Macaca fascicularis: one gene and its partner. The protein of the gene in region 2 interacts with the protein of the main gene of each other region in a biochemical or structural test. Links are inferred from orthologs where the notes say so. Each region holds a gene or a part of one and is shown on either strand. Other genes may lie near its edges. The genes, in order: RLN3 and RXFP3.

What was found.
Region 1: the proteins of RXFP3 (region 2) and RLN3 form a complex in vitro, tested with the Homo sapiens proteins (2 studies listed by BioGRID, with this or other methods). The link is inferred for Macaca fascicularis from reciprocal best matches to the Homo sapiens genes RXFP3 and RLN3.

Annotation. Positions count from the first base shown.
Region 1 is NC_088393.1:14,448,437-14,452,779, reverse strand, and holds the start of RLN3 (relaxin-3), read right to left. Parts: upstream 3,012-4,343; 5' UTR 2,974-3,011; coding exon 2,784-2,973; intron 54-2,783; coding exon 1-53. UniProt on the Homo sapiens protein: May play a role in neuropeptide signaling processes. Ligand for LGR7, RXFP3 and RXFP4.
Region 2 is NC_088380.1:34,565,541-34,569,829, forward strand, and holds the start of RXFP3 (relaxin-3 receptor 1), read left to right. Parts: upstream 1-1,288; 5' UTR 1,289-1,873; coding exon 1,874-3,283; 3' UTR 3,284-4,289. UniProt on the Homo sapiens protein: Receptor for RNL3/relaxin-3. Binding of the ligand inhibit cAMP accumulation.

The DNA of each region.
Region 1 (4,343 bases), on a different chromosome or scaffold from region 2:
CAGCTGGCCTGCCAGACTGTCTCCATCAGCATCTGCCTCCGGGAAGGTATCTCCTGCAAAAGATGAACAGAGTTAGTGCTCAGGGCTCAGCTGCCGCTGCACCCACAGTCCTGGCTCCTGGACGGTCTAGCTCTGATCTTGTGACAACAGTTATAGACATAGTTCACAGACATAGTTCAGAGTTTTGATTCCACCCGGTCCTGGGTTCAAATTCTGGCTCTGCCAGAGTAGGTGGGAGAGTAGCTGGGATTACAGGGGTCTGCCACCAGGCCTGGCTGATTTTTGTATTTTTAGTAGAGACGGGGTTCACCATATTGGCCAGGCTGGTCTCAAACTCCTGGCCTCAAGTGATCTGCCCACCTCAGCCACCCAAAGTGCTGGGATTACGGGAGTGAGCCACTGCACCCAGCCCTGTCATTTATTTTCCCTTACTCTTTATTATTAATTGAGGACCTGGTACATTTGGGAGCTGGGCTGACTGAGCATGAATCCAGCCCCTCCAAGCTGTAATCGTGAGCAAGTAAATTTACTTATTGGAGCCTCAATGTTCTTTTCTGCAAAGTGGAAAAAAATAATTATTCCAACCTTCTCAAGTTTTATAAGGAGTAGAGGAGTTAATATCCATTAAAAAAAAAAAAAACTTAGAACAATGTCTGGGACATGATGAGCACTCAAAAATGATTATTTAGTTCAGGCATGGTGGCTCATACCTGTAATCCCAGAACTTCCAGGAGCCCATGCAGGAGGATCACTAGAACCAGGAGTTCAAGAACAGCCTGGGCAACACAGCACTACCCTGTTTCTACAAATAATAATAAGTTAGACATGGTGGCATAAGTTAGAGATGGTGGCACAAGCCTGTAGTCCCAGCTACTCAGGAGGCTGAGGCAGGAGAATTGCTTGAGCCCAAGAGGTTGAGGCTGCAGTGAGCTGTGATCATACCACTGCACTCTAGCCTGGGCAACAGGGCAAGACCCTGTCTCTAAAATAATAATAATAATTTATTGATCACTTACTGTGTGTCAAACAACGTTTAAGTGCTTTAGCAGGTTAACTTCTTTATTCTTCTGAGTGACAACCAGTTGAGGTGGGTGCAGTTAGCACCCCTATTTTCCAGAGGAGACCACCGAGGCAGGACTCAGTAAAGAATTTGCATGGCCAGGCGCAGTGGCTCATGTCTGTAATCCCAGCACTTTGGGAGGCTGAGGAGGGTGAATCACCTGAGGTCAGGAGTTTGAGACCAGCCTGGCCAACATGGTGAAACCCTGTCTCTACTAAAAATAAAAAGATTAGCGGGGTATGGTGGCACACACCTGTAATCCCAGCTACTTGGGAGGCTGAGGCACAAGAATCACTTGAACCCAGGAGATGGAGGTTACGGTAAGCCGAGATTGCACCACTGCACTCCAGCCTGGGCAACAGAATGAGACTCTGTCTCAAAAAAAAAAAAAAAAAAAAAGCCGGGCACAGTGGCTCACGCCTGTAATCCCAGCATTTTGGGAGGCCAAGGCGGGTGGATCATGAGGTCAGGAAATCGAGACCCTCCTGGCTAACATGGTGAAACCCCATCTCTACTAAAAAAAAAAATAAAAAAAATTAGCCGGGCGTGGTTGCAGGTGCCTGCAGTCCCAGCTACTCGGGAGGCTGAGGCAGGAGAATGGCCTGAACCCAGGAGGCGGAGTTTGCAGTGAGCGGAGATCATGCCGCTGCACTCCAGCCTGGGCGACAGAGCGAGACTCTGTCTCAAAAACAAACAAACAAACAAAAAGATTAGCATACGAACACACAACTATTACGTTGTAGAGTTACTATCTGAATCCAAGTGGTGTGTCTTCTAGGTCCACGCTCATACCTATCCTCCTTCTCACCAACATGAATATCTATTTCCCAGGCCCCTGCCCCTCATGAAGCTAGGTCTTCTGTTCCCTCCGACTCTCCTGATAGATCCCAGACTGTGCCGCTGCCCTGCTTAGACTCTGCCCTAATCTCTTTTGACTTAATCACACCACTTAATCCTGCAAGGTTCAGGAACTGTGTCTCCCATTTGAAGATAAAGCCACTCAGAGACTCCAATCTCAGGAGGATCACTTGAGCCCAGGAGTTCGAGACCAGCCTAGGCAACATAGTGAGACCCTGTTTCTACAAAAAAAAAAAAAAAAAAAATTAAAACTAGCCAGGCGTGGTGTCAGTTGCCTGTGGTCTCAACTACTCTGGAGGCTGAGGCAGGAGGATCGCTTGAGCCTGGGAGGTCAAGGCTGCAGTGAGCAGTGATTGGGCCACTGCCTTCAAGCCTGGGCAATGGAGTGAGACCACATCTCAAAAAAAAAGACAGAGACGGGAGGAGAAACCAGCTTGCTGGAGAGAGGTCACGCATTAGGTGACAAAATCTGGCTATGTGTATATCACACCCTTCACATTTATCTCCTGGAAAGGGTTGGAAACCACTTTGGTGTTGTCTTTGCCAATGGCGCTCTCCCAGCCCCCACCTCCGGAGCATACAAGCAGCAGCTTTGCTTTGCACAGGACACATAGCAGCTGCTCAGAAAAGAGTAACCTGTGCTCGGACTTCCAGCCACCAGGGATGGCTTGCAACCCCCCATCCCAGCTCTGCAGCTCTGCTAACTCCTGAGCCCTTGTGTCAAGGCTGGGCAGGTGTCCCTGGCTGAATGTGGCAGGGCAAGGACCCTCCTCCTCCAGCAACCTCCTCTCATCTCTGTCCTTAGCTCCTGGGACCCATCCAGCCACCCGTTCCCCTCCTACATCCACTCTCTCCCCAGCCTCACCCATAGTCTCGTGGGCCAGGATGTCCGATCGTCTCCACCGGGATCCCCCGCAGGTGAAGATGACTGCTCGGATGAATTCTCGCCCGCAAAGCTTCACTCCGTAAGGCGCTGCCCGGGCTTCAGTCCCCGGCCACAGCTCCCCCGTCAGCACCCACGCCGCCAGGAGCAGCAGCAGCGTGTACCTGGCCATGCTGGACAGAGATGCCTTGGACGTGCGAGTGGGCCAGTGTCTCCGCTGCCTCTTGGCCCCCCATTTATACATCGTGGCTCCCCCACACTCTGCCTGAAGAAAGCTGAGTGCCTCCCTTATCTTCTCCGGCAGAGGGGAGACAGGCACGGCCTCAGCAACCCGACCTTTCTCATGTCCCCAGTGAAGTGATAACCTTTCGCCAGGGACAGGGTGACGTGGCCCAGCTCATTGTCATCATCGACAGAAAGGCGAGAAGGTCTCCATCCTGCAGAGACCAGAAATGAATAATCCCAACAGGCAGGGCAAGAGGATGCAACCAGACCCCCACAACATTAGGGTCCTGGACCTCTTCAAAGATAATAATAACAATGAATGCCCGTGCAGTATGCGCTATGGGGCCAGGCACACTGCTCTAAGCATTTTATTTGTTTATTTATTTATTTTTATTTTATTTTTTGAGATGGAGTCTCGCTCTGTCGCCCAGGCTGGAGTGCAGTGGCGCGATCTCGGCTCACTGCAAGCTCCACCTCCTGGGTTCATGCCATTCTCCTGCCTCGGCCTCCCAAGTAGGTGGGACTACAGGCGCCCGCCACCACACCCGGCTAATTTTTTGTATTTTTAGTACAGACGGGGTTTCACCGTGTTAGCCAGGATGGTCTCTATCTCCTGACCTCGTGATCCGCCTGCCTCGGCCTCCCAAAGTGTTGGGATTACAGGCGTGAGCCATCACACCTAGCCGAAACCACACTTTTAGGAGCATGGGGTTATCAATTTAGGACTAAGACAATTCCCATATTACAAATGAGGAAACAGAGACACAGAAGGGTGTCCTGAGGCAGCAGATGCCAACATTTTTGACACCAGAAACCGGTTTCATGGAAGACAATTTTTCCATGGATGGAGCGTTGGGGGGATGGTTTCGGGATGATTGAAGTGTATCACGTTTGTTGTTGTTGTTGTTTGTTTGTTTGTTTGTTTTGAGATGAAGTCTTCCTCAGTCACCAGGCTGGAGTGCAATGGTGTAATCTCAGCTCACTGCAACTTCTGCCTCCCAGGTTCAAGCGATTCTCCTGCCTCAGCTTCCTGAGTAGCTGAGACTACAGGCACGCACCACCACACCCAGCTAATTTTTTTTTTTTTTTTTTCCGGAGACAGAGTCTCGCTCTGTCGCCCAGGATGGAGTGCAGTGGCGCGATCTCCGCTCACTGCAAGCTCTGCCTCCCGGGTTCATGCCATTCTCCTGCCTCAGCCTCCCGAGCAGCTGGGACTACAGGCACCCGCCAACACGCCCGGCCAACATGGAGAAACCCTATCTCTACTAAAAATACAAAAAAAGCCAGGCGTGGTGGCGCATGCCTGTAATCCCAGTT
Region 2 (4,289 bases):
TGGTTAGGTTTTTACTAAAGCCCTGACTCCCTCTAGTGGGCGGACAGAGCAGTGCAGCATCCGTAGCAAGGTGTGTGCTCTTTTCAGGGCTAAACGTCCTTTGGAATCAAGATTCTTTTTTTCTTTTTCTTTCTTTCTTTCTTTCCTTCTTTCCTTCCTTCCTTCCTTCTTTCTTTCTTTCTCTCTCTCTTTCTTTCCTTCCTTCCTTCTTTCCTTTTCTTTCTTTCTTTTCTTTTCTTTCTTTTTCTGTTCTTGTCTCCTCAGCTTGAAGGTTGCATCCTCTTTATCTCCTTAAGTAAAGCTGGGAGTTCTGTAGGACTCCAGGAGTGAGGACAATTATGCTTAAGACACTTTGGTTTCAGTTTAGTCCCAGACCAAGGGAAAACATTTCAAAATTTTAAAGTAAATCCTTAAAAGTGTAATTTACACAAGAGCGATTGACCTGGCATTTATGTAGACTGTAGTTTGAGAAATAATTCAAATGGTTTCCACTCATTCCCTCGGAAGAGTCCTTAGAATGTACTTCCATTAGTCTGAAAAATGTCTGAAAAAGAATCCTGATGCTAACAGTACTGGAAATAGGAGGGCTGGTGGTTCACGATCAGCCCGGTGGTATCCTCCATTCTATTTGCATCTAGGTAGAGAGACTGTGGGCAGTATGTGATCAGACAATTTGCTGAAGCGCTTTGGGCCTAGGGCATTTAATTTCTGTGAAGTAGGCTCATCAGTTATTCGCTCTGTTTTTGTGTCACCTCTCAGAATACATTAACGTAGGGGCAACCCTTGAACCCAGACTTCTGCCATGTGAAGACCCTTTGAAAATCCTGACAAACACAGACACTGCATAAGTGGTCAGCTAATTAAAGCTGGGAGGTGGAGCTGTCCTTTGTGTATCCAATAAGTACCCATCATCTCATTTGAGCATGAAAAGAGGCCACTGTTATTACTTTAAAGAAGGAAAGTAAGCAGGATAGCTCATATTTTTGGAACCATTTCTCACCAAATGGAATAATTCCAGTGATAAAGTGGGAGTGAGGAAGAAAGAAAAAAAAACTTCTAATCATAATGTTTGGGAATAAGAAAGAGGAAACTCACGTCAAAATCGACTTTCTCCTGCGGGTGCAAAATAAAGGCTTAAGACTGCTCCTGCTGAAACTTTGGGGAGGAAAACGGGAGCTGGCGGGTGGGCTTTGCCTGCCACTCAGCTCTCCCTCGCGGCGCGGGCGCGGCTGGGTTCAGCACCTCGGAAAGCGCCGCTCGCGGCGCCCCCGGATTACGCATGCTCCTTGGGGCCCGCCGCCTCGGCCATGCAAGTGCCACTGCAACTGGTGAGCACCGCTGGCAACCCACCCGGAGTTGACAACCGCAGAAAGACGCAGACACCCACTGACCTCCAGGCAACAGAGCGAGGTGGATGGAACTCTACGATCTCTTTCTCTCCAAGGACGGAAACCTCATCCAAGCAGTCCCAGAGGAAACCGACAAAGGTATTTGAAAGGGAGCAAGCGGCCCCAAATCGCAAAATTGAGCGACTGTGGGAGTTATGCACCAATGCCCCAGTGACAGCGGGACACGGAGAGGGGAAGTCTGCGTTGTACATAAGGACCTAGGGACTCCGAGCTTGGCCTGAGAACCCTTGGACGCCGAGTGCTTCCCTTATGGGCTGCGCTCCTCAACTCTGCTCCAAAGCAGCCGCTGAGCTCAACTCCTGCGTCCAGGGCGGTTCGCTGCGCGGCAGGACGCGCTTAGTACCCAGTTCCTGGGCTCTCTCTTCAGCAGCTACTTTGAAAGCTCCCACGCACGTCCCGCAGGCTAGCCTGGGAACAACACCGGGGTAAACCGTCCCCAGAACGTGACCTAGAGGTACCTGCGCATGCAGATGGCCGATGCAGCCGCGATAGCTACCATGAATAAGACAGCAGGCGGGGACAAGCTAGCAGAACTCTTCAGTCTGGTCCCGGACCTTCTGGAGGCTGCCAACACGAGTGGTAACGCGTCGCTGCAGCTTCCGGACTTGTGGTGGGAGCTGGGGCTGGAGTTGCCGGACGGCGCGCCGCCAGGACATCCTCCGGGCAGCGGCGGGGCAGAGAGCGTGGACACCGAGTCCCGGGTGCGGATTCTTATCAGCGTAGTGTACTGGGTGGTGTGCGCCCTGGGGTTGGCGGGCAACCTGCTGGTGCTCTACCTGATGAAGAACATGCAGGGCTGGCGCAAGTCCTCTATCAACCTTTTCATCACCAACCTGGCACTGACGGACTTTCAGTTTGTGCTCACCCTGCCCTTCTGGGCGGTGGAGAACGCTCTTGACTTCAAATGGCCCTTCGGCAAGGCCATGTGTAAGATCGTGTCCATGGTAACGTCCATGAACATGTACGCCAGCGTCTTCTTCCTCACTGCCATGAGTGTGACACGCTACCACTCGGTGGCCTCGGCTCTGAAGAGCCACCGGACGCGAGGACACGGCCAGGGCGACTGCTGCGGCCGGAGCCTGGGGGACAGCTGCTGCTTCTCGGCCAAGGCGCTGTGTGTGTGCATCTGGGCTTTGGCCACGCTGTCCTCGCTGCCCAATGCCATTTTCTCCACCACGGTCAAGGTGATGGGCGAGGAGCTGTGCCTGGTGCGCTTCCCGGACAAGTTGCTGGGCCGCGACAGGCAGTTCTGGCTGGGCCTCTACCACTTGCAGAAGGTGCTGTTGGGCTTCGTGCTGCCGCTGGGCGTCATTAACTTGTGCTACCTGCTGCTGGTGCGCTTCATCTCCGACCGCCGCGTAGCAGGGCGGGAAGGAGGGGACGCGGTAGCCAGAGGAGGCCCGGTCGGAGCCAGCGCCCGGAGACTGTCGAAGGTGACCAAATCAGTGACCATCGTTGTCCTGTCCTTCTTCTTGTGTTGGCTGCCCAACCAGGCGCTCACCACCTGGAGCATCCTCATCAAGTTCAATGCAGTGCCCTTCAGCCAGGAGTATTTCCTGTGCCAGGTATACGCGTTCCCTGTGAGCGTGTGCCTGGCACACTCCAACAGCTGCCTCAACCCCATCCTCTACTGTCTCGTGCGCCGCGAGTTCCGCAAGGCGCTCAAGAGCCTGCTGTGGCGCATCGCGTCTCCTTCGCTTACCAGCATGCGCCCCTTCACCGCCACTACCAAGCCGGAGCCCGAGGATCAGGGGCTGCAGGCCCTGGCGCCGCTCCGAGCGGCCACGGAGCCGGACCTGCTCTACTACCCACCTGGCGTCGTGGTCTACAGCGGGGGGCGCTACGACCTGCTGCCCAGCAGCTCTGCCTACTGACGCGGGCCTCAGGCCCAGGGCACGCCGTCGCGGCAAGGTGGCCTTCCCTGGGCGGTGAAGGAGGGGAACGGATTAAGGAGGGTTTGGGGCAGAGTCGGGCGGGGGGGAAGCATTTAAGAAGTAGGTGAGAGGAGGATGGACAGAGCATGGAGGAGGAGCCTGTGGATAGGCTGGAGGACCTTCTCTGGAGAGGGGATGCTTCGAAATCAGGTGGAGAGAGGAAGCTGGCAAAGGGGCAGAGATGAGCTCTACGGGCCAGACCGCCAACCTCCGCTCCGCACCCCACAGCTTTCCTTACTCTTCCCACGCTGGGCAGTGTGAAGGCGCCCAGAAGCGGAGAGAAGCAGCAAAAATGTAGATAAATTGGCACACCGAGCAGGGCTTAGCCAAATGATGCGCAGACAATTGTGCCCGTTTATTCCTGCGACTTCTGCGGAGAGTGCAGCCGCCGCCACAAAGTCTCCTTTGCGCCTTGGCTAACGAGACTGCAGCAACACCAAGGTCCTACTTGCTGCGGGGCTGCCCCAGGAATCTAGAGCTAGGAGGCAAGAAACGTTTTTGGAGTTAAGAAAGAGAACTGACCATCCTGATGCGTCCCCAGGAGAAACGGCAAAGGAAAGCCACCTCCCATGGAGTCATTATGACGATTATCATTCCGGACTGGGCCAGCGGGAACACACTGAGCCCGACCTAGCTGCACAGCCCCGGAGCTCAGACGTTAGCAGGGGGATAACACCTGTCACCAGCTTGGGAGAGCGATTCTCTGGGGAGTGGCGTCACTGAGGGAGGGAGCGGACGCAGTGTAATTAGAAGGGCTGGTTAAGGAAATTTATTCAGGTTGCTGCCCCAAAAGGTAAAAGGGGGCTCATATGCTCACTTGGTAGCAGAATTGGAAGTGGAGTGCTGGAGCGTTGCGAGGAGGAAGCCCAGGCGCTCCAGTTCCTCTGAGAGCAGGCTGGGTGCCTGCAGACACTCTGGTCTGCGTGCTGCCGGTGAGCTGGGCCCA